Stegostoma tigrinum: one gene and its partners. The protein of the gene in region 2 interacts with the protein of the main gene of each other region in a biochemical or structural test. Links are inferred from orthologs where the notes say so. Each region holds a gene or a part of one and is shown on either strand. Other genes may lie near its edges.

Evidence for each region.
Region 1: the proteins of tjp1a (region 2) and claudin-1-like form a complex in vitro, tested with the Homo sapiens proteins (2 studies listed by BioGRID and IntAct, with this or other methods). The link is inferred for Stegostoma tigrinum from reciprocal best matches to the Homo sapiens genes TJP1 and CLDN1.
Region 3: the proteins of tjp1a (region 2) and claudin-8-like form a complex in vitro, tested with the Homo sapiens proteins (2 studies listed by BioGRID and IntAct, with this or other methods). The link is inferred for Stegostoma tigrinum from reciprocal best matches to the Homo sapiens genes TJP1 and CLDN8.

Annotation. Positions count from the first base shown.
Region 1 is NC_081367.1:55,481,058-55,491,587, forward strand, and holds the start of claudin-1-like, read right to left. Parts: upstream 5,130-10,530; 5' UTR 5,080-5,129; intron 4,695-5,079; exon of another isoform or gene 4,611-4,694; intron 4,476-4,610; 5' UTR 4,465-4,475; coding exon 4,242-4,464; intron 1-4,241.
Region 2 is NC_081389.1:26,742,949-26,753,452, forward strand, and holds the start of tjp1a (tight junction protein ZO-1), read right to left. Parts: upstream 5,359-10,504; 5' UTR 5,127-5,358; coding exon 5,094-5,126; intron 1-5,093. UniProt on the Homo sapiens protein: TJP1, TJP2, and TJP3 are closely related scaffolding proteins that link tight junction (TJ) transmembrane proteins such as claudins, junctional adhesion molecules, and occludin to the actin cytoskeleton.
Region 3 is NC_081365.1:60,186,662-60,196,699, reverse strand, and holds claudin-8-like, read right to left. Parts: upstream 3,359-10,038; 5' UTR 3,073-3,358; coding exon 2,401-3,072; 3' UTR 1,892-2,400; downstream 1-1,891.

The DNA of each region.
Region 1 (10,530 bases), on a different chromosome or scaffold from region 2:
CCGCACATCCCAGATGTCCAAGTTCTTTAAGGACCGCAACTTTCCCCCCACGGTGATTGAGAACGCCCTTGACTGCGTCTCCCGCATTTCCCGCGACACATCCCTCACACCCCGCCCCCGCCACAACCGCCCCAAGAGGATCCCCCTCGTTCTCACACACCACCCTACCAACCTCCGGATACAACGCATTATCCTCCGACACTTCCGCCATTTACAATCCGACCCCACCACCCAAGACATTTTTCCATCCCCTCCCCTGTCTGCTTTCCGGAGAGACCACTCTCTCCGTGACTCCCTTGTTCGCTCCACACTGCCCTCCAACCCCACCACACCCGGCACCTTCCCCTGCAACCGCAGGAAATGCTACACTTGTCCCCACACCTCCTCCCTCACCCCCATCCCAGGCCCCAAGATGACATTCCACATTAAGCAGAGGTTCACCTGCACATCTGCCAATGTGGTATACTGCATCCACTGTACCCGGTGCGGCTTCCTCTACATTGGGGAAACCAAGCGGAGGCTTGGGGGCTGCTTTGCAGAACACCTCCGCTCAGTTCGCAACAAACAACTGCACCTCCCAGTCGCAAACCATTTCCACTCGCCCTCCCATTCTCTTGATGACATGTCCATCATGGGCCTCCTGCACTGCCACAATGATGCCACCCGAAGGTTGCAGGAACAGCAACTCATATTCCGCCTGGGAACCCTGCAGCCATATGGTATCAATGTGGACTTCACCAGTTTCAAAATCTCCCCTTCCCCTACTGCATCCCTAAACCAGCCCAGTTCGCCCCCTCCCCCCACTGCACCACACAACCAGCCCAGCTCTTCCCCCCGACCCACTGCATCCCAAAACCAGTCCAACCTGTCTCTGCCTCCCTAACCGGTTCTTCCTCTCACCTATCCCTTCCTCCCACCCCAAGCCGCACCCCCAGCTACCTACTAACCTCATCCCACCTCCTTGACCTGTCCGTCTTCCCTGGACTGACCTATCCCCTCCCTACCTCCCCACCTACACCCTCTCCACCTATCTTCTTTACTCTCCATCTTCGGTCCGCCTCCCCCTCTCTCCCTATTTATTCCAGTTCCCTCCCCCCATCCCCCTCTCTGATGAAGGGTCTAGGCCCGAAACGTCAGCTTTTGTGCTCCTGAGATGCTGCTTGGCCTGCTGTGTTCATCCAGCCTCACATTGTATTAGCTGGTGGATGTTATCATGTTCACAGTTTTCACCAGTCTCAAATCATGAGGAGTACAGCTATGATTCAACACACAACCAATACTCCCAACACCCCTTTCCTCCCAAGGTCAACACCCACCAACAACCCCTACTCCTTCCAACTCCAAAGTCCTCCCAACCAGTCCTCAAATCAACTCCACCTCCCTGCAAACAGTCCCCTCCCCCCAACAACACCCTCAACCAAACTCATTCCTCTAAACAACTCACCCAACCAGCCACTATGCCCCTAACTCCAATGCCCCCATACAGCCCCTTCACCCTAAACAACTTCCCCAACCAGTTTCTTCCACAGCATACGGCCCAAATAAATTCTCCTCAACTCCACTATCCAACCACCCTTACATTCACCAACTCCAACTCACGCCCACCATCCCCACTCTCCCTAACAGCAACTACCCTCCAAACAATCCCCTCCCCTCAAAAATTTGACCTAATTAGAATTAACCTTACTTTCTCCAGCTTTAACACCTTCTAATCACCCATAGTCTGCCTTAATTCCAACACTCCCAACAATCCCCTCTTTCACCAACTCAGTCTACCCATACCCTCTCCCAAAACACTCCTTTCCCACCCAACTACTCCTCCAACTACCCTCACTGCCTTGACTTGAACTCCGTCCTCAACTACCCTTTCTCTCCCGCTATTTAAAACCCCAAGGATCACCTACACTCCAACTCTGATGTCCTTCTGTAAAATGAAAGCGAGTGATTCACAGATACAGTATCGAACAGAACCTGACACTGAATCACATCTGTAGGTATCAAGTGACCAAATGTTTGATCAGAGGGCTAGATTTAATCAGCATCCAGAGACTGGAAAGACAGGTGAAGAGGTTTACAGTGGGAATTTCAGAGCTTCAAAGTTGGCTCTTGTGGTACAGCGGTAGTGTTCCTACGTCTGAGCCAGAGGCCCTTGGTCAAGTCTCACCTGCTCTAGTGGTGTGTAATAACATTTCTGAACAGGTTCATTAAAAAGCCAGGACTTCAAAAGTTAGTACCTAAGGGCAAACCAGAAGCAAGGAATCCTGCAGTGATTAATTCACCTCCAGACTCTGCAAAGCCTGTCCGCTACCCTCAAACCACAGATCAGAAGTGGGATCAACTTGCCTGGGTAAGTGCAGCTGCAGCACGAGTCAAGAAGCTTGACACATCCAGGACTAAGCAGCCTGCTGGATTGGCACTACATCCAATAACATTCACTCCCCCTCCAAAGTTCAGTGGCAGCAATGTGTACTATCTCCAAAACAAATTGGAGGAATTTATCAAAGTTCCTTAGATTGAACCATCCAAACCCATGACCAGTTCCATCTAAACAGACAAGGGCAGACATGGGATCACCACTACCTGCAAGCCCCTCACCATCCTGACTTGGATACATCTGTTCCTTTAGTCTCTGGATCAAAATTCTGAAACTTCCTCCCCAAGGACAGCAGCAATTTGAGAAGGCAGCCCACAACCACCTTCTCGATGGCAATAAACTCAGGCCCAGCCACCAATACCCACATCCCATGTATGAATAAAACAAACTATGGTGGAGCAACTAAAGTTGGAGATGGACAAAAATCCAAAATTGCAGGGGCACAAGTAACAACAGAGGTTGTAGAACGGCTTAACTTTGCAGAAATAGGGAATAGCAAGGTGATGGAGTCACTTGGGATGGATGCTGAGGAAATTAAAAATCAAGACCAACAGTGAACAGAGGCCAGCGAAGTGAGCAGTGATTGGTGACCAGGCAGTGGCACAAGTTAGGATAATGGCAGCAAAGCTCCAGAATGTGCAAACCCAGCCAGGAGGACACGTGACTAGTGAACTCTGAGAGTGTGGCTGATTGTTTGAGGAACAGGAGATGAGGAGGCTGAAGTCTGGCAGCCTTACGGTTGGCAGCCATGTCAATGGAAACCCATATCAGACTAAAAAGAAAGCAAAGTGCTGTGAACAGATACTAGACATGGATGCTCATCTGAAGAGGTTAGCACAATGAGCTAAATGGTCTTTTATGGACTTTGAGATTTCTGTGTCTGGTTCAGCATCAGGCAATTGAAGGGGACAGGGTTCAAGGGCAAAGAGGTAGGCTTTGCAACGGGGATTAAAGACTCTAGGTTCTGCCTTCCCAAGACACAGTTGGTGGTAAGTTTCTGTCTATGGTGTCCTGGGAGCAGAACAACAGTTTAATAAACATGAGGCAGGAAAGCTGTCAAAACAGACATTGGCAGGTCCAGCTGGGTGTGGTCAGTCTATATTGATAACTGACAGCATTACAGATGGGAGAACTGTCAATGAGATGCAGGAAGGGGTGAAGGGGTAACAGCAGAGGTGAGAGGAAAATATTCGGCTGATCTGGGGCCCCGAATGGATAGCTAACAGCGCCAGCAGCTCACAGTTCCCTTGTTAAAAACCGAAAGAACTGCTGCTGCTGTAAATCAGGAACAAAAACAAAGTTGCTAGAAAAGCTCGGCAGGTCTGGCAGCATCTGTGAAGGTAAAAACAGAGTTCTCCTTCTATTGAGAGGCTCTCTTTCAGTATGCGGGCGAGAGAAGGGCCTGAAACAGATGCTGTTTTTTGGCGTACACTTTTAGAAAGAAAGGGAACATTTCAGAGGCCGCCTACCCCAGGAAGACCAGTTGCAACTTGCCCTCACATCCAGACGCACAGAGTAGCCTGGAGCGCTTTCACTGGAATTAACAACTGAGTAACTTCTAAACAAACGGGCAACGGAGCACCTACCGGGCGACCTGGCAAATTCTTCACGTGCGGAAGCCCAGTAAATCCGCCCCGTGAGCTAAAACGAGGGAGAGCGAGCGCGCTCAGGACAAGGCATAGAGACCTGAAATCAGCAAGAGTGCGGGTTCTCCATCACTGCAGTAACTCAGAAAGTGTCCGCGGTTTCAGGAGACGGACCATTATTTTGTAAAGGGAATATTAAAGCCTCCTATTGACCAATGAAAGCTTCCTTCTGATAGACAGAGATAGAAGGAGCCCGCTCTCCATCCCCCGCATCCACTTACTGTGCAGTTTCAGCATTGAGTCGTAGACTTTACACTGGACCTGCCCGGTACTCTGAGACACACAGGACATCCAGAGCCCCTCATAGATGGCCTGCGCCGTCACGATGTTCTCCCCGGCGTAAGACGAGGTTTTCCATTGGGGCAGAGCGGTGCTGGTAATGATTCCGATCCAGCCGAAAAAAGCCAGGGCAAAGCCCAGGATCTGGAGACCCGAGTTGGCCATTCGCGTTCTGCCTGCAGGGCAAAGGGAGATGAGTTCTACCTCACAGCGAATAAACCGTGTCCCCCAAATCCTACAGGCAACACCCCTCCCTCAAAACCACCCCCAGCTGCCCCCCCGCCCTCCCCATCCTTCCCCAGGAACTGTACCTGACTCTGCTGGAGAACTTGTTGCTCTGCTGCCGAGTTCTTGGGAATATACCTGATCTGTCAGCCACACCTTAAAGGGGCGGATTCAGGTTCCGTCGGCCAAATCCATATTACTCGAAATCTCGATATCTCTCAGTGACTCCCCGGCATCTTAGAGCCTACTAAAAATGGCAGATGATGCTACATCGGTTGTTCGTTTTAGATAACTGAGATAGATAAATTTCTGTTCAGCCAAGGTATTAAGGGATATGAGCTAAAGTGGTTCGGTCACAGATCAGCCATAAATAATCTCATTGAATGGCTGAACATGTTTAAGGTCCGAATGGCCTACTCCTGTTCCTGAGTTGCTATATCTTTCCATCTCTCTCTCACTCTCATTATCTTAAAATCTGTCTTTATTAGTGTACCAAACAATTCTATGTCTATGTGCTTGTCTCTGTGTCACCCGTAGTATCTCTGCATTTCTCACCGTGTGCCTGTTTCTCGCAGCCTCTCAAAGAACCTTCCGTTCGGTCCCCAGTCTGCCAGCCTTGGGCAGATTTTCAGGCAACTCAAATTAGGCAAGAATTCACCACCTCCACCCCGCGTTCCACGTCAATTTGCGACACCTCGATTTAATTTTTTAAAAATGTCCAATAAGAGTTCTTTCTGCATTAGTTTCTTCTTAGAATCATTTGTTTAAGAAGCTGCAGAAAATCTTCAGTCTGAATGTAAGGGAACAAAAATGTCTGAGCCTCCAACGATTGTTTAGTGTGCGAGTTGGTATTGATCTGTGTGTTGAGTCAACTGACCCCAACAGAGCAGCAAAAGACAGGGTAATAAAGTGTGAAGCTGGATGAACACAGCAGGCCAAGCAGCATCTCAGGAGCACAAAAGCTGACGTTTCGGGCCTAGACCCTTCATCAGAGAGGGGGATGGGGTGAGGGTTCTGGAATAAATAGGGAGAGAGCGGGAGGCGGACCGAAGATGGAGAGAAAAGGAGATAGGTGGAGAGGAGAGTATAGGTGAGGAGGTAGGGAGGGGATAGGTCAGGCCAGGGAAGATGGACAGGTCAAGGAGGTGGGATGAGGTTAGTAGTTAGGAAATGGAGGTGTGGCTTGGGGTGGGTGGAAGGGATGGGTGAGAGGAAGAACAGGTTAGGGAGGCAGAGACAGGCTGGTCTGGTTTTGGGATGCAGTGGGGGGGCGGAGGATGATGCGTTGTATCCGGAGGTTGGTGGGGTGGTGTGTGAGAACGAGGGGGATCCTCTTTGGGAGGTTGTGGCAGAGGCGGGATGTGAGGGATGTGTTGTGGGAAATGCGGGAGATGCGGTCAAGGGCGTTCTCGACCACTGTGGGGGGAATGTTGCGGCCCTTGAAGAACTTGGACATCTGGGATGTGCGGGAGTGGAATGCCTCATCCTGGGAGCAGATGCGGCGGAGGCAGAGGAATTGGGAATAGGGGATGGAATTTTTGCAGGAGGGTGGGTGGGAGGGGTTGTGTTCTAGGCAGCTGTGGGAGTCGGTGGGCTTGAAATGGACATCAGTTACAAGCTGGTTGCCTGAGATGGAGACTGAGAGGTCCAGGAAGGTGAGGGATGTGTTGGAGATGGCCCAGGTGAACTTGAAGTTGGGGTGGAAGGTGTTGGTGAAGTGGATGAACTGTTCGAGCTCCTCTGGGGAGCAAGAGGCGGTGCTGATACAGTCATCAATGTAACGGAGGAAGAGGTGGGCCAACCTCAGCAAAAGACAGGGGCTTGGGCTTGAAACAGAGTGCAAAATCCCTGGATTTTCAAATTGAGGGCATGATATGTGGATGGGGGATTGCTTGCTATTGTTGGACTGTAAGTGAAGTTGGATAAATGGAGCTGGGTGCAGATTGGGCATGGACAATGGTTGAATGGCATATCAGTCTTGTGGAGCTAAACATGCTTCTTCTGTTGTGGATCAAAATTATTTTGTTTATAGGGGTCAGCTGACCCAACACGCAGGAGATCAAAATCACGCTGTACACTAAACAATTGTTGGAGGCACAGAATTTTTTGTTACTCTACATTCAGACTGAAATTTTGAATGTGTTCATTTATTAAACAAAACTCTCCATGAGGTTCCAAAAGTGAACTGGGTCACCATAATTCAGTTGGAATATCATGTGATTCTCAGACACCAGTCTCAGTTAAACTGACATTTGTATTGTTTGAGTAAAGCAAAATCAGAAAGTGATGGAGAAACTCAGCAGGTCCAGTAACATCTGTGGAGACAGAAAATGAGTTAATGGTTTAGATCTTCCTCAGAGCTTCAGTAAATGACTTCTTCTGATTTTGAAAAGCAGACATTTTCACCTCAAACCGTTATCTGTTTCTCTCACCACAGATGCTGCCAAAACTGCTGAGTTTCTTAAGCACTTTCGGTTTCTATTTGAGATCGCTAGCATAGAGTCATAGAGTCGTTCAGCACAGAATCAGACCCTTTGGCCCAACCAGTCTGTGTCATCAACAATCACAAATTAAACTCGTCCTACCTACCTGCACTTGGTCTATATCATTCCAAACATTTCTTATTCATGTACTTTTGTAAATGACTTCTAAATGTTGCAACTGTACCTGTGCCCGCCACTTCTTCTGGAAATTAATTCCTCATGTGAACCACTCTTTAAAACAATTGCCCTTCAAGTCTTTTCTTTAAATCTTTCTCTTCTCACACTAAAAACATGCCACTTAGTCTTGAAATCTTCAACACTGGGGAATAAGCATTTGCCATTCACCTTATCTATGCCCCTCATGATTTTATGAACTTCTATAAAGTCACCCCTCAACCTCAGTAAAAAATGTCCTAGCCTATCCAGCCTGTCCCAGTAATTCAAATCCGCCATTCCCAGCAACACCCTGGTAAATCTTTTCTGAGCCCTTCTTAGCTTAATAATATCCTTCCTAACTGCGGTTCTGAGGAAGGGTCACTGGATCCGAACCGTTAACTCTGATTTCTGTCCACAGATGCTGCCAGACCCACTGAGTCTTTTCAACAATTCCTGTTTTTGTTTCTGATTTCCAGCATCTGCAGTTCTTTCAGATTTTATTCAGCAGTGCTTTTCTTTTGTTTTGAATGGGTAGAGTGTTGGGAATTATTGAAGCCCTTCTGAGATGTGGTACTCAGTGGCAGGATCAATGCTTGCTTCTAGTTTCTCATCCCATATATGACTCTTGTCTCTGATGTATTGCTCCAGAAATGATTTTTAAACCACTAATTCTTAATATGTGAATATTTCTAGTAAGGTCAACATTTACTGACCATCCCTAATTGCTCAATTTTGATGCAAAGTAGCTAGCCCTTATGAATGAACGGCATTTATTTCATTGGATGTTGGTATCAATGGCTGGGACACCATTGGTTGCCAAACCCTAGATGTCCTTGAGAAGGTGTTGGTGAGCCACTTTACTGACCCACTGCAGATATGGATACATTCACTGTGTTGTTAGTAAGGGAGTTCCAGATATGGACCCAATGAAGAATACAGTTCGAAGTCAGGAAGCTATGTGTCTTGGAGGGGAGCTTGCAGCTGGGAATGTTCCCATATATCTATTGCCCTTATCCTTCTCTATCACAGTGGTCACAAGTTTGGAATACAGGCCAGACTTGTACATTTCCTTCCTTGGGGAAAGCTTTCCCTTTTTTAACCATGCTAGGAGATCAGTGCACTCTGGGCTGAGAAACAAATTAAACAGAGAACAAAAACTGTGGAATTTCGAGATGCTAGAGGAATTTAGGACTTCTAGTGCACAAGTCACAAAATGTTAGTATGAGGCTACAATTGTATAAGGAGGAAAATGGTATTCTATCTTTTATTTCAAGAGAAATTGAACATAAGAGTGAGGAGGTTATGCATTAGTCATACAGGGCATTGGTGAGAATTCATCTTGAATATGGTGTATGGTCTTGGTCTCCTTATCTAAGGAAAGATGTAAATGCATTGGAGATTGTTCAAAGAAGATTTGCTAGATGTCATGTTGTTTGTTCCCACAAGACTTCCAAAACGTGAGGGGTGATTTGGTTGAAGTATATAAGATCCTGAATGGTCTTGACAAGGTGGATGTGGAAAGGATGGCCATCTAACCCAGGTGTCTCATTATCACAGCCAGCAGAGTATTTGACCATTGAGTCCCCAATCTTTCTGATGTATTGAGAGGTGCTGCTGTACCTGTTGCATCTTTATAATCTTACCCTGATTGAGAGGCTGTGATTGTAGATTTAACACCACAACAATGTCCCAGGAGAAACATTTTTTGAGGGTTGTTATTGAGGGTCAGTCACGGAATGAGGGCAAACAAAATGGATCACAGGAACTCTCAGAGGCCAAGACTGTCAATGAAATCTTTAATAACAAATCCTCCAAATGATATAAGATTGTTCTTAGCTTTTATTTCCCAGATAGCTCTAGCTTTATTGTTTGATCTCCCCAGTTCTGATCAGTCAGTATTTATACATCCTTATTTTCACTTCCTGCCCAAGGTTTTTTGGCAGAGAGAAATTCCAGTGTTAGACAGAGAAGCTCAGGAGCAAAATATCATTAGGAAATGAGTGAACCTCCCTCTACAGTATCCCCATGAAACACATCCAGACCAGATACAGCATGGGGTTAAATATAGAATAAAGTCCCCACTACACTTACCCCATCAAACCTCTCTGGACAGGATACATAAAGTAAAACTCTCACTATACTAGGTTTTCATGCATTGCCAGATTATCCACAGGCACTGCTGCAATTCATCAAGTTTACTTTGACAGCACTTCCCAGACACATGTTCTGTACAAGACCAAGGGTATTCTGTGCATTTGAAAGCAGCCAAGCTGCAGAGCATTTTGAATTGGACATATATCACAAGATCCTTCAGCGTCAGTCAAATGTTGAAAGGGCCTTCCGATCAAACAAAGGAAGCACGTTACAGTGGGTTCAGCTATGTTGAGCGTGAAGAGAGTAAGGCACGGCTGATGGTCTTTTCTTTAATGCCAGGAGTGTAATTGATAAGACTGGCGAGTTAATGGTATGGATTGACTCAGGGAAGCATGATATTGTTGCCATCACAGAAACATGGTTGAGGGAAGGGCTGGACTTGCAACTCAACATTCCGGTGTGAGACAGATGAGGGTGTAAAAAGGGTGATGGTTAATTAAGGAGTCAAGTACTGCACTAAGGAAAGATGATATGTTGGAAAGGTTCTTAAATGAGGCTTTGTGGGCAGAACTTAGAAATGTTAAGGGAGCAGCTACTTTACTGTACTATAAACACCCAAAGAGTCAACTGGAAATAGAGGAGCAATTATGTAGACAGTTCACAGAGGTGTGCAAGAGAAGTTCAGGGAGCAGTTCAGCTGTGGCTCCAGAGGAATACAGGAAGTGTAGGAGGGAACTCAAGAAAGCATTTAGAAGACCAAAAGGGGGGCGTGAAAAAGGAATTGCGAGCAGGACTAGGGAGAATTCTAAGATATTTTATAAATGTATTAAATGGGAAGAGAGGTTAATCAAGGAAAGATTAGAATCCATTAGGGACAACAGGGCGACCTCTGTGTAAAGCTGCAGGATATTGGAAGGGTGTTGAATGAATACTTCTCTTCAGTGTTCATTCTGGAAAAGAGGAACATAGGTATGGACTTCAGGAAAAGAGGCTGGGAGGAACTTGAACATTTTGACATAGGATACGGGGAGATATTGGAGGCTATACTCACCTCAGAAACAGACAAATCCCTGGCCAGGATGAATTGCACCCCAGGCTGCTGTGGAAGGCAAGGCAGGAAGTTACAGGGACTCTGAACAAACTTTTAATTCCGTTCTAGCTACAGGGGAAGAGCAACAGGATTGGAGGGCGGCTAATGTGGTTCCACTTTTTAAGAGGGATGGTAGATACCCTTCATCAGAAAAAGACAAGATGAAGCAGGACACTGGGTAAC
Region 2 (10,504 bases):
TTCTCACACTGAACTCTTACGATCGCTTTTTCAGTGTTTTTCCTATCCTGGCCTGTTCCCTGTTAACTCCTTGTTTACCTGCCCCTTCAACATCTCTCTCCAGGCTGTCTCCCCGTATCCGCACAACTCTTCCCCAAACTTCGGCTTCAACACAACGATCAGATTTTTAGCTTCAAACACAGTTCTGTAGCAAGAGTCACTCGACTCAAACATTAACTCTGCTTTTCTCACACCTCCCCGCTGCGACCCCCCAAACAGATGCTGCCACACATACTGCATTTTCTCCACCATTTGTTTTTGTCTCAAGATACTTCTCTTCTGCCACCCATCCAGTTACGTCTCTAAATACAGCTTCCTTGACATTCAGAACCATTATCACCCTACTGTCATTGTAAACAGCCTATATCTAACCTCAACATCAGAAACAGATGTTGCTCAAAAAGCTCAGATCTGGCAGCAGCGAAGAAGAAAAAAAAATCAGAGTTAACACTTCAGGTCCAGTTCTGAGGAAGGGTCACCTGACCCGAAACGTTAACTCTGATTTATCTTCACAGATCCTGCCAGACCTGCTCAGCTTTTCCAGCAATTTCTATTTCCGTTCCTGATTTACGGCAGCTGCAGTTCTTTCAGTTTTTAATCCATATCTAACCTCCTTTTCTCATTCAAAGTTTACCACTTCGTCACTACTAAAATTCATGCCCACTTTTTTTTCTGCAGAACATGTCTGAATCACTCCAATCATATTTCCTTTATTGCCACAATTACTTTTCTGCAGCCTTTGACATCGTCACCTAAAGTTCACCTGTCCTCATTTGGCTCCACTGTCTCACATCAACTGGTAGGCAAGCTCATCTGTAGCTTATCATTTTGTCCATTACAGCATGACTTCCCAGGCCAGTGAACATTTGTCCTAGTGCCCTCTACTTTACATACTATCATTTGTAAGATCATCCACAGACGAGATGAAATTACAGCCAGTTCTATTTCTCTCAATCTCTTCACTATCTCCATATTCTCTTCACCACAAAAGACACCTGCTCTCATCTCTGTAGCCTCATTCACCCTTAGCTCAGTGCAACTGCAGCTGAGATCCCAAACAATTGTATCCACACTTTAGTGTTCCACAGCTCAACCGTCTGGCTTCCCATCCTCTACCCATATAAAATTTACCTGATTCATAACATAGCTGCCAACATTCTGACTTGCAACAAGTTCCACAAAACCCAGTACCCCCGCCCCCCTCAGTCAACATTGGGGTGACGGTATCCAGTAGTCAAAAGCTAACATTTTCATCCCGGTATTCTTGCATGGTTCTGGCCTCTGTAAGCCCCATTATCTATTTTCCCTATGAAACAAGTCATGCCCTTATGGGCCTTTGATGCGCACTCTTCAGTGCTGACCAGGACCCTTCTTCTGGTATTCTCAAACATCTCCACTTAAATACTTTCCTTTTGAAGGCCCTCCTTGAAATCCACTTTTTTGACTAAGCTACTGATTGAAATGTGTGTCACGGCTAGACAGGGTGGCTAAGGCGACATAGAGCGGCGTGGTGGCTCAGTGGTTAGCACTGCAGCATCAGGAATCCAGGTTCAATTCCAGCCTTGGGCGGGAGTCTGTGTGGAGTTTGCATATTCTCCCCCGCGTCTGCATGGGTTTCCTCCAGGTGCTCCGGTTTCCTCCCACAGTCCAAAGATGTGCAGGCTAGGTGGATTGGCTATGCTAAATAAGTGTTCAGGGGTGTGTGGGTTATGGGGGATGTGTCTGGGTGAGGTGCTTCAAGGAGCGATGTGGACTAGTTGGGCCAAAGGGCCTGTTTCCACACTGTAGGTAATCTAATCTAACACACTTGCCTTCATTACTCAGGCCTTTGTATCTAGGAGTTGTGATGTCATATTGAGGTTACACAAGACGTTGGTGAGGCTTCTTCTGGAATACTGTACGCAGTTCTGGTTGCCAAGCAAGGTTATTTTAAAACTGGACAGGGTTCAGAAACAATTTACCAGAATGTTGCCAGGAATGAAAGATTTGAGCTATAAAAATGGCTGGTTAGGCTAGGATTATTTTCACTGGAGCACAACAGGTTTGAAGTGTGACTTTCGAGAGGTTTAGATAATCATCATCGGGGCACAAGGTAAACAGCAAGGGTTCTTTTCCACCCCCTACTGTTGGGGATTTCAAAACGAGGACTTTTTTAATGCGCAAGGAAAAAAAAACTTTAAAAAAAACACAAGGGGTAACATTTTATTAAACAGAGTGGTTCATGTATTGAATGAATTACCAGAGGAAGTGGTACAGTCAGAACATTTAAAAGACATTTAGATAAGTACACAACTAGAAAAGGTTTGGTGGGATATGGTTCAAATGCAGGCAGATGGGTCAGGTTTAACTTGGGAACATGCTCTGCATAAACGAGTCGGACCAAAAGGTCTGTTTCCGTGCTTTATGAATCTATGACTCTGACTAACTCTGCCTTCTTTGTTCTTGCCTCTGTTTTCCTCTTATTATGCATCCATGTAGAGTGTCTGGGAATGTTTACCTTCATTACAAGCTGCATACAAAAAAAGTCAGTTGTTGCCATTGTTGAATTTTGTTGCAGTTTTACACAATTACAGGAAGTGACACTGGAAACTGAAATAATTTCAGTTTCACTCACAGTACTCAAACATTGATACGAAAAGGTAGGGTCCATGCTACTTTACAGGAGGTTGCCAAAATTACTGAATGCACTCAGTCCCAAACGCAAGCATCATTTCCACAAGGCAAGTGCTGAAATATATTGTTTAGAGATCTGTGTTGCTAATATTCGTAGAACTAACTTCTCTGAAATCGATGTTTAAAACAAAACCAAGCAATTTGGTGCATTTACCATTGCCAAACAGGAAGCTGAAAAATAATGTAATATCTGTGCCATATAATTGAGGTTGTGGAACATTCATTGGGTTTGGTACCCCACTCTTACACTCACATCAACACATATTACATCTTGTCAAGACTGAATTAAAGCCTCTCCTTTCCAATTAGATACATAGATTTTACTTGGAATTAACCTTAGTCTTCAACTTGGCTTCTCGTGGGCATCAGTCCAAAATTGTAAAGTTGCTACTAAACATGCAGCAAAAACAGGAAACCTGCATTTTCCTGAAGGAGAAACAAGTGACACAAAAGATGCGTTCTGGGGGGGTAACTTGACTGATTCACTTTGTACCAGCCAAGTTATTCCTGACTTGGTGACTGTAGACAGATAATGTTTCCAAATCATATTATTCTTAAAACTGACTGCAAAACAGTACAATTCTGAAGAACCCAATGTATTTATTTGTTTCAAATGCAGTTGCATTATAATTTATTACAATTCTACATGCTTCATCCAAGGTATGTCCTGCAGAATGCTCACCTACAACTATATTTATGCTTTGATGCAACTTTAGGTCTCAGCTTATACCATCCACACTGGGAACTCCAGCCTGCTGAGCTCCTTATCCACCACATTCCAACACACTGATTTCCCTGAACTCTTCAAATCTTGCTACATTTCTCAAATAAAAGCCAAGTTCTATGAACATTGGAGCATTTGTTTCAAAGAGCCATATCAGATCTAAAAGGGCAGTGGTGGATCCTTGTTGACACAACAGGTACTGGTCTGAAGAGTCACAGATGCTGCCAAAACTGCTAAGCTTTTCCAGCAACTTCTGTTCTTGTTCCTGATTCACAGAAGCCACGACCTCTCGTTTTTTTAAAACTTGGTTTTGTGGTCGCATTTCTCCATGTTTTCAATTCAAGATCTCTCTTTGCTTGTACTACCTTGAAGTGTTTATAGACATGCCAGCTTTTGCAAAATGAACTAAGGCAGGACTTGCATGTATTTACAGCTTGTCTGCGCAGAATGAACAATTTTAATACATCCCCTACCCCATGAAATTGATTTGCAAATACAGAAACTTAAGACAAGAGTTTATCAGACTGGAGTATCACCATTCGCCCCTAAAAACCCAAAGTTGAAATCAATTCTTCAACTTGGTTAAACAAATTCGATTACTACATAGACCATACTTTTCAAGTTCAAAATATCACTTCACTAAGAATGTATTGACCATGCAACATCTGAATACTTTATATTTTCAAAGGGCTTTTGTTCAGTTTAATAACAGATAGTACAAGAAAACGAATTTAATATTGCAGCTCACTGTCATCGAGTTCAACTCAAAAGTATCCAAGGTCGGTTAACACGTACAAGCACAAACTAACTCAGATCTGTGCTTTCGCAGCCGCCTGTCAGTGGAAACTCAATACATCTGTCTATTAGTTTCATGACGATTTAACCAGCGTTACACAGCAGAAATATTCGTTGCACCCTTTCTCCTCTCCTGCATACCAAAAAGTTTCATCATCGAACTGAAACCAGACCTCACTTTAGGACAACGAAGTCCTGGCCAAAAGTCTTCTTACGAAGAAAATGCCAACTCTCTGATCTCCAAAAATGTCGGGAAAGACTTTAAGCTCAAACAGCAAAGTGAAAGTTTGTAAACCGATACATTCGCGATAACTAGACCCAGCAATAAATTAAATGTCGGTGGCAGTAAAGAGAGATGACAAGGAACTGAACCCAGACTTAAGATGCGGTTAATGTCTATCAATTCCCTCGTCATTGGCCCACTCCGTGGTAGAGCCTGACCAGAGTGGCCGTGTGCCTGGCGGACCCTCTGATATGTCGTACCCAATACCCCCGCCTTTCTCGCAAGCACAAAGTCCTCCAGTGTCAGGGCAGGATGCCGACGGAAACTTCCAGACAGAGCCTAAGACGAACAGACCAGTATCTGTCTCGTCGACGGGGTTTCACCACCGCCCTTTTATTGATCTCCTCACTTACGCACCCTCGCACTCCACTGCCTCACCTCCACCTCCCCCTGCCCTAACCAACTACAGTAGGTTCACGTCCGCTAACTTTCAGCCTTTCCCTGCACAATTATCCCGAACTCACCACCTCCGCCAAAACTCCCGCTTACCCAAACTGTCCTCTCACTCTCTCTCTCCTCCTGTCCCCATCCCTCCTCTTTCCTCGCTCTTCATTCGCCCCCCGCTCCACCCCCACATACCTTGCCCATTGCTCCGGCCACCCGGGCGGACATCTTGTTTTCGTAGTTCTCTGAAGGAAAAGCACAAACGCCGACCTCGCTCAGCTACACTGCCTTTCCTCACAGATTGGAAGCGAGCATTCTAGTGCGACAGTAGAAAACAGCCACTCAATCGAAGCTTTCCCCGTGCCCTCTGAGCTCGAAGAGACTATCCTCAGTCTCCTCCCGAATTCCGGTGGCCGGTTGCACAAGCACAAAACAACAAGGCCGCGGGACTCTCAGCACCAACCAATAGGAGCACACCCGGCTCGTCATATGGTAACGCCCCCTTTTTACTGGTTGATGGCAGAGGGGCGGGGCCAGTTTCCCCGCGCGTCTCGGCTTCGGCTTCGATGGTGGAGCCGCGCGCACGACGAAGAGGATCAATCACTGGCATCCAGCCCCTGGGTTCGGTCTGTAGCTCCGGGCTCGAACTCCAGGCTCGGTTTCTAGCTTCCCCACCGAACTCCTGCCCCAGGGATCCGTGTACACCCATGCAAGAACCCTGTGTTCTTCTGAGTTTCCCAGAGTACTCCCAAGTTACTTCTTCCAAAAGGCCTCACTTCACATTTATCACGGTTAAGTTCCAGCTGCCCAAGAACTTCTTCCTCACTGCTAACCACGAAGCCAACCTTTTGTGTCGTACACAACCCAAGTTATCACTCGCTCTTCCACGCCTCCATGAATATTGGTCTACCTTGTTGTTTGTGATTGTAGATAAATACTGTGCACTGATCTCCACTCACATAGCCTTCTACCACCATCCTCTGTCTCCTACTATGAAGACAATTTTGGATCCAACTTGCCAAGTTATCCTGGCTCCCATGTGATTTTATCCTCTTTATCAGCCTTCCATATGTGCGTCCTTGTCAAAGACTTGCCAAAATCAATATAAACTACATCTACTGTATTATCCTCATCTTCACACTTGGTCACCTCCTCAAAAAGTTCAGTCAAATTTGTTACAATTACTTCTTTCTGACAAAGCCATGCTGACTATCCCTAATCAAATTGCCTTCATAAGTGGAGATTAAACCTGTCCTTCAGAATTTTCTCCAATTGTTGTACTACCACTACTTCAAGGCTCTAGCATGTTCCCCATGACAACTGACTGGCCTGTAGCTTCCTATCTCCCTTCTTTCTTGAAGAGAGTAGTCAAATTCATAATCTTTCAACGTGGTGGGACTTTTTCAGTAACAAATCTTCTTTATTCAAAATTCAAACCAATACATCCAGCAGCCATCAATGTTAAGATCCTTGGACAAAGCCCATCAGGACCTGGGGACTTGTGCTAATTTAGTTCCAATAATTTTATTAACATCCTTTCCCTGGTGATAATATTTTTTAAGTTCTTTCCTCCCTTTCAACTTTTGATTTACAATTATTTTGAAAATGTTATTTGTGTACTCTGCAGTGAAGACAAACACAAAATCTGATGAATTCATCTTCTATTTGCTTATTCTCCCTCATTAATTCCCCAGACATGTGGAATATCTGTTCTATATTTCCAGCATTTATTCTCTTGTACTCCCATAAAAATTCTCCCTCCTCATTATTCTCTTCGTCATTGTTGCTTCTTTTTTACATAAAAACATGCAAAATAGAAACGGGAGGAGGTCAGAAAATAAAACAAAAATTGCTGGAAAAACTCAGCAGGTCTGGCAGCACCCATGGAAAGAAAGCAGAGTTAATGTTTGGGTCCATTGACCCCCGTCTTTCTTTCCACAGCCCATGTGATGACAAGGCCAGGTGTGTGGCTTTTGGAGTAAGGACATGGGAGAAGGTGCTCCAGCTCCAAAATTGTTGAACTCGATATTGAGTTCAGAAGGCTGCAAAGTTCCCAAGCAGAAAATGAGGTGCCGTTCTTCCAGCTTATACTGAGCTTTGATGAAGCACTGCAGCAAACCTGAGACAGAGATGTTGGCAAAGGAAGATGATGGCATGTTGAAGTGGCAGACAACTGGAAGCTCAGGGTTATTTTGGCAGCCAGACCATAAGTGTTCCACAAAACAGTCACCCAGTCTGCACTTCGTTTCCCCAGTATAGAGACTACATCGTAAGCAGCCGATAATGCAGTAGACTAGATTGAGTGAAACAGGTAAAGGGCTGCTTCAAACGGAAGATGTGTTCACGCCTTGGATGGTGAGGAGGGAGAGAGCAATTAGGTAAGTGTTACACCTTCTGTGATTGCAGGGGAAGGTGCCCTGGGGGCCATGTTGGGAGTGAAGAAGTGGACCAGGGTGTCCCTGGGGGAACAGTCGCTAAAGAAGGCTGACAATGAAAGGGAGGGGCATGTGCGTGTGGTAGAGGCAACCCATTGGAGGTAGTGAAATGGCAGCTAATGATCATATGTATGTGGATGCTGATGGATGGTAGGTGAGAAGTAGGGGGACCCTGTCCTTGTTGTGGGAGAGAAGAGAGAGCATGAGGGCCGAAATGAGAGATGGTTCAGCCCAGGAGACCCATTCAGCTTATCAAACCTGCTCTGTCATATAATGAGATAATGGCAGTTCTTCTATCTCGATGCCATTATCCCATGTATTATATATAAGTATCCTGATGTCTCTAAGCACTATTTTGACTAATCTCTGACCTACCGCTAATCGTGATGGAATTGTATTCTTTCTCTTTCAACTGGACACTATCTTTAAGTATTTCCTTAGTTACTCACAGATGGTGTATTCTACCCTTAAAATTTTTCTCACTGGAATGCATCTTTGTTCTAATTGTTCTGAAATATCTCCTTAAATTTCTGCCACTGTATCTGTACAGATCTCCACAGATCTACCCCTTAACTTAATTCCCCAGTACCTCAACTAATTCTAATAAATGCTCTTACTTAAGTTTAAAATAACTGTCTTAGACAAACCCTTCTTTCCCTCAAACTGAATGCAAAATTAATTCATGTTAAGACCACATCTACCTTGGGGATACCTATGTTGTGCAATCCCCCTCCTGTTTGCATATTGCTGATTCAGCTTAAGAGTTTTTATAGTTTGTTTTCCCAGTTGATGCTGTACTTAAAATATAATTTAATACAAGACTAAAGCAAAAGCAGAATCTATACAGCATTCAGGCTTTGCTGGTTGATTTGATGTCACTAATCTAAGTGACAGTGGGAATGTGGCAGGAAACTCTTAAACCACAAGTATTTCAGATATAACTTGCTGTGGTTTCCTGCCTTCTCTCACAAGAGAGATGTTCTCAAAGTACAGCGGGTGCTGGAAATCTAAAGTAAAACTAGAAAATAAAGGAAACAGCAAATCATGCAGTATCTACGGAGAGAAAAAGAAAGAAAAAGTTCGGATCAGTGACTTGGCATTAGGACAAATATATTTAGTTCCTATTGGAACTGATGTTTTGTGCAGACAAGGTGTAAATTCTGCATTGTTAGAATGGATTGTTCCTATAAAGAAAGCTGAAAACTAGAATCAAGGTGAGTCATGGAACTCAACTAGATGTAAAATCAAAACAGAATCATGTAATACTATGCATCTAATTAAATATAGAATCATTTGTAAATGTATTGTAACGTTTCATTCAATTATCCTTACACTTTCAAAAAATACATTATTTCTTTTTGGTGCATTTTCCATTGGCCAGGGCACAAACACTAACCTGGCTAACAATGCCCACATACTGTGAAAGAATAAAACAAATTCTTACGTAATGATCAAAGCATTTGAAACCAGAATTCTAATGGAGTAGGAAGAAAATCAATTCCAAATGAGTACGAGGAAGTTGATACTTTTAGGCTGAGTAAAAATTTCAGTGGGGATTAGACAGGGTCAATGTTGGAAGGACACCAGAACTTAGGCATCACATTCTCTGGATAAGAGGTTGGACAGAAAGGACTCTTATGGGGGGTAATTTGTTTTTTCTGACGGTTGAAAATCTTTGTCATTCTCTATCTCATGGAACCATGCATGCTCAGTTGATGAGTATGTTCAAGGATGTAATCAATGGGCTTTTGGTTTCTAAGTGAATTGAGGCTCTGGAAGGCAAGTGAAGTTGAAAATGAGAATCAGCTATCAATTCACGGAATAGTGCAGCTGAAAGTATAACCTAGTCTTGCTCTTATTTCCTATGTTCTTGTGAGAGGACATTATGCAGAAAAAAACTCATTGAATGGTGGGTTGTCAAAACAATTTTTTTTTCTATTTTAAAATTTTAACCTGAAATTATAGGATATGATCTGATCTGAGCAGGAATTGCAGTATTATCCTTGTTAAGTTTCTTCTCACCCTCTTCACTACATGTGCACATTCTTCCAGGACTGCAATTATGGTCTTCCAAGATTTAATACAGATACACAAAAAAGCTTCACCACATTTCAATTCTATGGTTTCAGAAGAAAGCTGACTTTATGCCAGAGATCATAGGAACTGCAAATGCTGGAGAATCTGAGACAACAAGCTGTAGAGCTGGATGAACACAGCAGTCCAAGCAGCATCAGAGGAGCAGGAAGGCTGACATTTCGTTGAAGAAGGATCTGGGCCCAAAAAGTCAGCCTCCCTGCTCCCCTGATACTGCCTGGCCTTTTGTGTTCAATCAGCTCTACACCTTGTTATCTCACGTTATGCCACCTGGTTTTGGTTTGGTGGCCTTAATAACTTGTGACAACTTTTAGTGATTGGTGCTTTTGTACTCCATGATCCTTTTGTTGCTCTAACCTACCTAGACTTTCATTTACCAAGTAATAAGTCCTTAATTTTTCTACCCTGCTCATGTATATCAGCACTGATGTTAACATGCAAATTATTTGCCCATTCTTCATGTTTATGAATATTTTCTTACTATTTATTACAGTCCTTTGAAGTATTGACTATCCCTGTATAATATGCAAATTTAGAGAAAATATTTTGATCAAAAGTCCAAATCATAAATCCCAATGCTGCTACACGTACTCTTGCGGAACACCATTTCCCAACTTTTATTACTGTGAATGACTAACCTTTACTCCCATTGTCTGCTTACTGCTTTTAAACTAGTTCATGGTCCATTCTGCCACTTATCCCCAGATTCCATAATCTTTAACTTCTTTTATACATTAATTGGGGGCTCATTATTGAAGACCTTTTGAAAAGCCAGATAAATTACACAACTTCATTCCATCGATTACATCTCAGATACCTTTTCAAAAATTTCAAATAAGTTAGTCAAGCAAGAATGTCATTTCCTTCATTTAGTCAAAAGAAACATAGGGGTAACATGGACTAAGATAGGTTATGTGGTAGCATCAGGAAGTGAGACCCATCTTGATATTGGGAGCAATTCTCACGATGTAATATTATTTTCACAAGTGGTGTGGTGAAATTCTTGATCAACAAAGGCAAGTTGCCAATTGATAGGGACTACTGTTTGTTAAACACGTTGGTAACAGTGAGACCCAT
Region 3 (10,038 bases), on a different chromosome or scaffold from region 2:
AGCAATTCTTCCAGTTCTGCTGTTATGAGTCCATTTTTTCCTCTCTCATTTTGTTCCTAAGTTTCTGTTATACAGTTCCTTTGTGGATTCCTGTGTCTGCATTTTTTTTCCAAATTGGATAAACTGGGGGCAACATTCACCCCAATATGGAAAACTTCCAGAAAGGTGTCAATCGAACCAAAGATACAGATATCAGTGACTTACTTCAATCATTTTGATGCATGTTAATTCTGACTAGATGTTGTCTATTGATAATTTCACAAGCTTGGCTCAGCTTGGTCAGGTATTCACTGTGCCCATCTTAAATCAGTGTTTTTCCTTTTTCCTTCCTCTCTGATGAAGGGTCTAAGCCCGAAACGTCAGCTTTTATGCTCCTGAGATGCTGCTTGGCCTGCTGTGTTCATCCAGCTTTACACTTTGTTATCTTTTTCCTTTTTAATATCATTTTATTCCATTAAACGTACTAAGTAATGTAGTATAGGTCCTAAGTGTGTATTTTCATCACTATCATAACAGGAATGGGTAAGATCCACTGTAAGTATATATAGTTTTTTTATTATAGTCATATTAACAATGGCATAGTGGCTATGCTACTGGATTGGTGGTTCAGAGGTTTGAACTAATAATCTGGAGACACAAATTCAAAATCCATTATGGCACCTGGAAAATTTCAATTTCAGTGGAATAGCTGATATCAGCCATATGAACATGAAGGCGTAAGTCAACTGTGATGGCAGATAAACTATACTTGGGTTCAACAGTACAATTTTCACAGAATCATGGAATCCTTACAATGTGAAAGCAGGCCATTCAGCCCATTAAGACCACATCAAACTTTTGAAAACCATCCCAACCAGACCCAGCCTATCTCTACAACCCTGCATTTCCAATGGTTAATCCAACTAGACTGGATATCTCTGGTCATCTTAAGCCTTCCATATAAAAATACTTGAAAATTTATCAAAATTGATTTTTATGTGAGGCGAGGTCTGATTTCATTCCATCCAAAATATTCAGTAACTTGAAAAATAGAATTCCTAATGACAAACTTGAGCAGAATCCTTATTTCATCATCTGCACTATTCTAACCAATACAGATTACTTCAGGCTATAATCACTAGAAAGCAGGAGGAGGCATCAATATGTTGGAAATGCCGACAGAAGTTTGACTGTAGGAAATTAATATGTATAAATCCTACACAGGATGGGTGGTAAAATAAATTGAAAACTATGAATGCACTATCACTACATAAGCATTGCCATTTGATTATGAAATGCTAGATGTAGATCAACTTATAATGAAAAAAAGAAATAATGGTAACTCACTAAACCAGATAAATTTATTGAATCCTGAAATGGACTATTATTATAGATATTGTAAATGCAGCAATAGTGTGTTTGGGAGGAAATCAGTGAAGTGCTCAATACAGCTTTGTGCTTTTGAGCTCCAACATGTTGATTCACCAGATTAAATGGAGGAATGTTGAGAAAAGACCAGGGCACAACTGCACACCCAGGATGCAACAGAATGGTTAAGAAAGGAAGAAAATGAGTTGCATCATATGCTCCAATGAATCTGGCAGCAGAGTTTAAAAATGTCACAAAAATATTGTAAACATGATACCCACTAGCTTGACTGACTATAACACATATCAAAGGGAGACCAATAGGGGTGGAAAAACTGTAAATACCTTACAAAGGGACTCTCACCCTCAATCATGTCCCACTTGCATTATTTAAAGAGCAGTGTACAGTGCAGAACTTAAAAGTCCAATTCAATTCAAGTCTATCTTGATATGCAATAAAGTTAATTCATAAATAACTAAATTTGCAGAAAATAATTAAATTATTTTTAATTATTTATGACATAAATTTGCAATGGCCAACCATTTGTATGAGCATTATTCACAGAAATATTTAAAATGAAAACTCAATATGTAAGAAAAAGTTTTGAAACGCCGGTATATTCAGTTGACAGAATGCCATAAGACTATGTGTTGCTTCAAAAAGTCTCCAACTGTAATAAAGCAATGTCCCACTGAACCCTAACAGTTTTGCAAGAATATGTAAGTCATTTTTTTAAAGATACCTGTAAAGTTGCACTCAGCAAATATTTAAACATTTGAATAGATACACACTTTAATTTTTAAAACTAACTTTGATATAAAAAAGACATCCATCAAACTGCTTTAGAGATGTTTTACAAAGATCACAAAATATAGGTATTTGGACAGAATAAGTTTTATAAAAATGATGACAATGATAAGGATGTAAAGCCCAACATTTCACCGCGAAACCTGAAGGGATGATGCTTCTCTACATTTCGCTGTCGCTTTAACCACTCCTAGGTTCTATCCTTTGGATTGGTAAGTTTCTGAAGCACCGCGAATCTCAAATGATTTAGACAAATTCGCTTTTGGAATACATGCTGGGGATTTTCTTTGTTGTCTGTTTTGGGGGCTGTTTCCCATGTTGTCCAGGTGTATAACTGTAACTCCGTTTCTGTCCATTCACACACGAGCAGCAAAGGATGGCCCCTGCAGCTAACAGGAAGCCGGCAGTCGCCCAGCCGATGTACAGGGCTTCGCCCAGTTCACGTTTCATTCCTTCCAAAACCAGCGGGTCGTAGAAATTCCGAACGATTATGTTGGCGGTCCAAGACACGGGGATCAGGACGACAATTCCCGTGAGGATCAGCAGAACTCCAGCGCCTATCAATATGCGGCTTTTTACCTGTTCATCCTGAATCCCACCGCGAGTACATTTCATTCCCATGGCAGCGACGAGGATGCTCAGAAAAGCCAGCGCCACGGCAGTGCACATCAACGCACGGCCAGCCTGCAGCTCCGGCCTCAGGATCAGGAACGAGTCGTACAACTTGCACTGCATCCGAAAAGTTGCCTGCTGAACGCAGCTCATCCACAAACCTTCACAGTTCCTCTCAAAGACCACCAGATTGCTCCCAATGAAGGCGGTCACATTCCACTGGGGCAGCCCGGTCACCGCACACGTCCCGACCAAGCCAATGACTGCCAGGACCAGGCTGAAGATTTGCAGAGTAGAACTCACCATTTCGTCTCCAGTTTACAGCTCCAAGCGCGAAAGCTTCCCTTCTCGTAAAATGAGTCGGAGAAGAACCACAAATAAAGACCAAGCAAGTAACTGTCGTGTATCGCTTTACCAGCTGGTCCCTGTTAAAACTCTGCAACAAAATGTTCTGCCCTTTCGTAAGGTCAATTAATCCCAGACGTAATAAGTTAGGACGTTCTCTTCTCTGCTGTTGGACTTTTTAAAGGAACCACTGATTGGGACAGAATACATAACAGGGCAGAGCAAGCTCTGCAGCCAATGAGGCGACCTCCAGGGATGAATTATAAAACAAAGGAGCGCTCTTCTCCGCATCTTGAAAGCGGTAAACACCTGTGCAAACGATTTGAAGTTTTATTGGCGAAACTATTTTTCTTCCCTCGCTGCCAGTGTTTTTTGCGCTCCTGTCCTGAAGAGTTGATGTTACACGTTATGGTTCCACAGTGGGCACAGTGGCGACATGTTAAAATCACCTGTTTAGTAATCCAGAACACCAGGGTAATTTTTTTGAGGGTATAAATTTGAGCTCCACCATGGCGTATGGTGAAGTTTGAACTCCATATAAAATGCGGAAGTAAAAACTATCAGAATGGTTCATTGTTGTTAAAATCTGTCTGGTTCACTGATACATTTTAAGGGAGAAGAGTGAATCCAGAGTAAAAGCCTTAACCTTGCTTCTCCCTCCGTGGGTGCTGCTGCATTTCTCCAGCAATTCTCTCTTTTTCATTTCAGATTTCCAGCACATGTAGTTTTTCTTGTTTTTTTTTTAAGAACATAATAAATAGGACAACAGTGTTCTATTTGGCCCCTTCCAACCTGCTCTGCCGTTCAATAGGATCATGGCTGATCCAACATTCTTCAGGTCCATTTTCCTGCTGTTTATCTGTAGCCTTTGTTTAGCCTATTGATCAAAAATCTATCCATCTCAGTCTCAAATATACACAAGGAATCCGTCCCTATAGCTCTTTGTATGGAGGAGTTCTAAAGACTCACTATCTTCTGACAGAAGAAATTTCTGTTTGTCCCAGCCTTAAATTGTAGTAGAATAAAGGGCCACCGTTCTCCTCTGGTCCCAGAGCCTTCCATAAGGGGGAACATCCTCTCAGCATTCACCCTGTCAAGCTCCTCAATAATCCTATTTGATTCAATGAGATCTCCTTTCATTATCCCAAACTCCAGTGACTAGAGTCCCAATCTGTTCAATCGTAAGATCTTCCCTCCATACCAGAAATCATCCTAATGAACATCCTATGAACTGCCTTCAACAAAATGATGCTTTTCCTTAAATAAGGAGATCAGAGCTGCTCACAATACTCCAGATGTGATCTCACATTTAATTGGCATTCAAATGGGATTGACAATAAATACTAGAATAGCCAGTGACACCCACATCCTATTAGCACATAATGCTGAGCATCCTTCAGTGCCTATCCCAAGTCTCAAATAACCATCGTGCAATTGTGGATGTTCTGTAGGCTACTTCACTACAGGAGGCATTGCACCTGACTAATCTCAACATATCATTCACACTTGCAGCAGTGGCAGTCAGATGGTAGCCAAGAGAAAAATCCTGATGATTACTCACTCGCCCTGTTTTCATTTGATTTGATTTTTTAGTGTCACATGTACTGAGTACAGTGAAAAGTGTTGTCTTACATGATTTACAGGCAGATTGTATTATAGAAGCCCATCAGGATAACAGAGCAGAGTGCAGGATATAGTGTTAAAGCTGCTGAGAAGGCGCAGAGAGAGATCAACATTAACATTTGAGAGGTCCATTCAAAAATATGGTAACAGTGCAGAAGAAGTTGTTCTTGAATCTGTTCATATGTGTATTAACATTTTCGTATCTTCTGTCTGACAGCAGATGGTGGAAGAGGGTACTACTGGGGTGGGAGGGGCCTTTGATTATGTTGGTTGCTTTCCCGATTCAATGGGCAGTATAGATGGAGTCAGTGCTTGGAAGGCTGGTTAGCACGATGGACTGGGCTGTGCTCACAAGCTTCTGTAGTTTCTTGTGGTCTCGAGAAGAGCTGTTGCCATGCCACGCGGTGATGCGTCCAGATAGGATGCTTTCTATGGTGCTTCTGGTGCCTCTTTAAAAACTTGTCAGATTCCTGGTGGACATATCAAATTTCCTTAGCCTTCTGAGGAAGTAGAGACGTTGTTGTGTATTCTTGACCATAGTGTTAATGTGGGTGGACCAGGACAGATTGTTGGTGATCGTCACTCCTAGGAACTTGATGTTCTCAAACATCTTCACCTCAGCACCATTGGAGTCAGGGGTGTGCCCTCCTCTCTGTTTCTTGAAGTCAATAATCAGCTCCTTTGTTTTGCCAATGTTGATGGGGAGATTGTTGTCTTCACATTATGGCACTAAGCACTCTATCTCCTTCCTGCACTCTGTCTTGTCGTTGTTTGAGATCTGACCTATAACGATGTTGTTATCAGAAAACTTGCAAGTGGCATTGGAGCGGAATTTGGCCACACAGCTAAATGTGTGTAAGATATAAAGTAGGGGGCTGAGTACACAGCCCTATGGGGCATCGGTGTTGAGGATTATCATTGAAGAGGTATTGGTGTTTATCCTTCCTGACTGCAGTCTGTTAGTCAGGAAATCAAGAATTCAGCTGTAGAGGGGAGAGCAGAGACCTAGGGTCCTATGCATACTGCATGCCAGGTGGGCCAGATCGCAGTCCCACCAGACAAACTCGCCCAAAACATAAAAATGGAGCCTGGCATCTTCATCCTGCGTATGCTCACTGTATTAGATCTACAACCTTAAAATGGACTTAATAGTTTTCTCTATACTCTCCTAAAGTACTTCTGAGTTCTGCTGTGGATCGATACTCTTGAGAATAGGTTTATTCTTTCAATTTATTGCAGTTTGGACTGTGACTGACTGTGCAAGCATATTTCAAGCACTCTAGAAACAAGGGGATGCATTCAAGTTTCACATACAAGGTATTTCTGTTTTCCTGATAATAGTACTAAATGTTACCCCCCTGCAGCAGAGCTGCTCAATCATTACTGTGTCCAAAGGATAGTGCAAACCTTAATAACACAAAACAGCATGTTGTAGGTAGGTGTACTCAGGTGGAAAGAATCAATTTAACTTTATTTGAAAAGCGAGAACAGGAGTGGCCTTAGACATACTGACATTCTGCTCTGCATCTGAGTTCCACCAATGATATCTCGCCAAACACACTTCTAAAATAAAAGTGAAACATTAAGTTGTATCTTAGAAAACTTTCATTTCTTTGAGGTTTCAAAAATATCAGAAGTATTTTAATGAAACTGTAATAGAACAAGAAAACTTTGATATCAAGTTATTAAGCATTTTCAATGTTAAAGATGCAGTGACTAAGTAATATTGCTGTGTTAATCCCACAAATTACTCAAAAACATCCAGAAAAAAATTGCTTATGATATTTTTTCCAATTTACTTTAATTTTTGCAGCCCAAAGCACAGCTCTAATTTTATTTTATTTAAACATTTCAAATTAATATTAAATTTATCTACCAAAAGCTGTGCTGTGCTTTTTTAAATTTATTCATGAATGGTTTATTTTGAAGGTCCCAGTTTTTTTTCCCCTGAGTTCTGGGCTTGAACATTTCATTTTTGTCCCGATCTGTGACTCTATCGGCTAAGTTTGGATTGTGAAATCTGATCATGTGCGGTGTGCTCAATTTTCTAGGCTGCATCAGCACTGTTCAGTCAAGTAATATTTTCGTCAAATAACTTTGAAAAATTAAAGGTTAAGGGTAGGCCATTTGACACTCGAAGAAGAGTTTGCTACAGTAGCTTGGAAGATGACTTGCATGTCCATGAGTATGCGTGTTTCTGAATGAAATGGTGCAGAATATGATTACTCTGCTTGGCACGAAGAGCTGCCTTCAAGCAGATAGAATTAGTTGACAATGGCATCACTGTCAACACAGACATGGTGGGCTGAAGGGCCTGTTCATATGCTGAATTGTTATATGTTCTGTATACATATGAAATGTGTGGGAGGAAGTGACAGTTCATGTCAATGTTATTGCAACATGCTGAGGGTCCAACAGCAAATGTGAAAGACATGTTTCAGATATGAATATTCCATTTAAACTAAGATTTATATAAACAGTCTGAAAACCAGCAGGAACTCAGCCCAAAGCCTTTTAGCCATGACTGATATTTTAGATCAAATTCCATAAATGCTGCTAACTTATCTTGTTTACTTGCATTTTCCTCACTGTCTGCCATAACCTTTCTTTCATTAAAAAATAGTAAACAAATGCAAAAGTAGTTATTTTTCCTCCATATTGTTTCAGAAAGTGAAGTAAATATGTAAGTGATGTTGCAAACCAGATTTGTACACGGGAGGAAGGAAAAAAAGATTTTATTTTGGGCCTTGATATCGTTGGTAGATATATCATTGAGAACTGAGCACTATCCGCATCAAACAGAAAATCATTGACTGAAAAGTTTTCTAAATGTGTTCAGTTGATGATAAAGATTTGCAGGAATGTTTTGTAATAAAATACAGGATTTCATTCTGGGTGTCAATCTTCATGATGCTGATTGTTACATTCTCAGATGGAGGTGTGAACAGAGCAGTGAGCAGGCAACAGATCATGCTAGGGATGCTGTAAGTTTTTCTGATCTTTCTCTCGAGGTGCTTTACAAGGAGGTTTTGGCAAAGAGGGACATTGTATTATAGAACATAGAACATAGAACAATACAGCTGACAAAGGTAGGAAACAGCCACAGCTTTAACTATCACACATCATACTGTGTGGCTTACTCCTTCATGTGACTGTATGAGAGATATAATATGATTATGTGCACCGTAAATGATTAACACATTAAACAATGAGAAATAACCTATTAACAGCCCAATATACCAATATAATATATTATACTATAATCAATAAACACAATATCCATGAGAAGGAATTTAATTCAGGGTGTAAGGGCTTTAATTACTCCCTCATATTTGGAAAGGGGAGTCCAACACATGTTGGAAACTCCATGTATTCCCCTGCTCTCTCAAATGAGCATTAGTGATCCGTCATATGCAACAATAAATTGCCACCTAAGAAACAGTTCTGCTACCAAATCTTGAAATGAACCAAAGCCGAAGCAGACCAAGGCCACTGTGACTTTGTCAGAAATTGAAAACTTTGTGGTTGGAAGAGGTCCTGTAGTAGGCCGTGGCTCTTAACCTTTTAGATTTATGCGTCATCAAAACAAAACCTTGTCTTACCATGATAAAAACAAAAAAAACCTACTTTTTCCAAGGAGTGCATTTTTACAGTTCATATTATGTTGACCATTCACTGATATCTTTAAGAACATTAAAAATAACAATGATATTGCTGAGAATAAGTTGTATTACTAAATTGTGAAAAGAAATGAGAGAATGATTTAACCATTGGTAAGAAGCTTGTGGCAGCATTTCACTGGCAAGCATGCCAACTCTTGAGGTCTTTGTGTCCATCCCACTGGTTGAGAGAACTGTACAAGCCAGAAGCCACCTGTATGGAAAGGCAAAGCCTCCTGCTGCACAGACATAAGGGTGGTTTTTTTTCCTTTGCATGGTATACCCTGTGCAGAGGATATTACTTTTATTATCATCTTGCCCTTGTTCCTCTCATTTGTGTTCCCACCTGTTGCAAATGCTGGTCATCATCACTACAGGTCTCTACGTAATTCTCTTGACCAAGTTTGCCCCGGCTTGACCATCAAAGTTCATGAAACCTCTCACTCCATGCCTGCTCCCAAGATCACTGTTAGCTTACCAACAAGTCACCCTACTCCCCTGAATTGCCTGAGTATTTGCCATCTAAGTGCTCAAGAAGCAATGTCCATATGGTGACAACTGTATGGAAATTCATACAGGTGTCTCTGAGGCTACCACATTTTATAATCTCTTTTGATTATCTCCTGCAATCATGACTATGATTTTCATAGTGTTCTACTTCCTTACGATGGACTTTTGTGATTGCTGTAACATTTTACCAAAATAGCAAAAAACTGACTTTTGCCAAACTGTCAACGAACTTATTTTCTTTAACAGTTGCTTATCTGCTATATGTGAGTGGATTCCCAGGTCCTATAGCTAGATGTTGGTACATTATTTGGTGGTGCAAAATATGGGGAGGGGCCACCCCTTCCATTCCCACACCCATTTGAAATAAAAATTCCAGTCATGGTCTTTGGACTGTTTACTTCTTGCTTGACTTAAAGCACTTTGGACTTTGTCGTTGATCTCTGGCCACAACCAATGTTCATTCATGGCACTATTGTATACATATAACATTAGTTTTGCCAGCATTTGAACTATTCTGGAAGGCAGCCACAAGATCACTTGTTACTTTCAAGCTGCTTAATCATTTATGGTAAAAACATAGCATGATGTGATTTTGTGAAATTTGTTGACTGCGGAAAATTGGCAACTGGTTTAACCTCATTTGTTTTCCATTGAACTCATCACCAGATGTGATGTCAAAAATTGAATCAAAATGTGTCATCCTTTGCCTTTCATTGTTCCTGATACCATCTAATCCACCAAGAAAAGCAATGAAACACTATGAGGGAACATGAAAAACAAGGGTACTTATTTTCAACATACTTCTCCAGTCAATAATAAATTTTTTAAAAATAAATTAAACCATCTAATACAATGTTTCTGGCATCAAAAAAATGTTGTATTTGGAATAAGTTGAACTAATTTTGACCATCACTTCTTAGCTTCCAAAAAAACTCAGGAACACAATCAAAATTCTTTATTTTAGATGAGATCTTCTTTAACCCAATACTGCTTTAATCACCTTAGAACTCTTATTGTTCAAATTATCTCTCAGTGATCAGTTGTGAGCCCTCAGTGTGCACTAGGTATCATGCAGTTGAAGACCCAGAGGAAACCTACCCATTATTACATCATGTCATTCCAGTGTTCATTAACA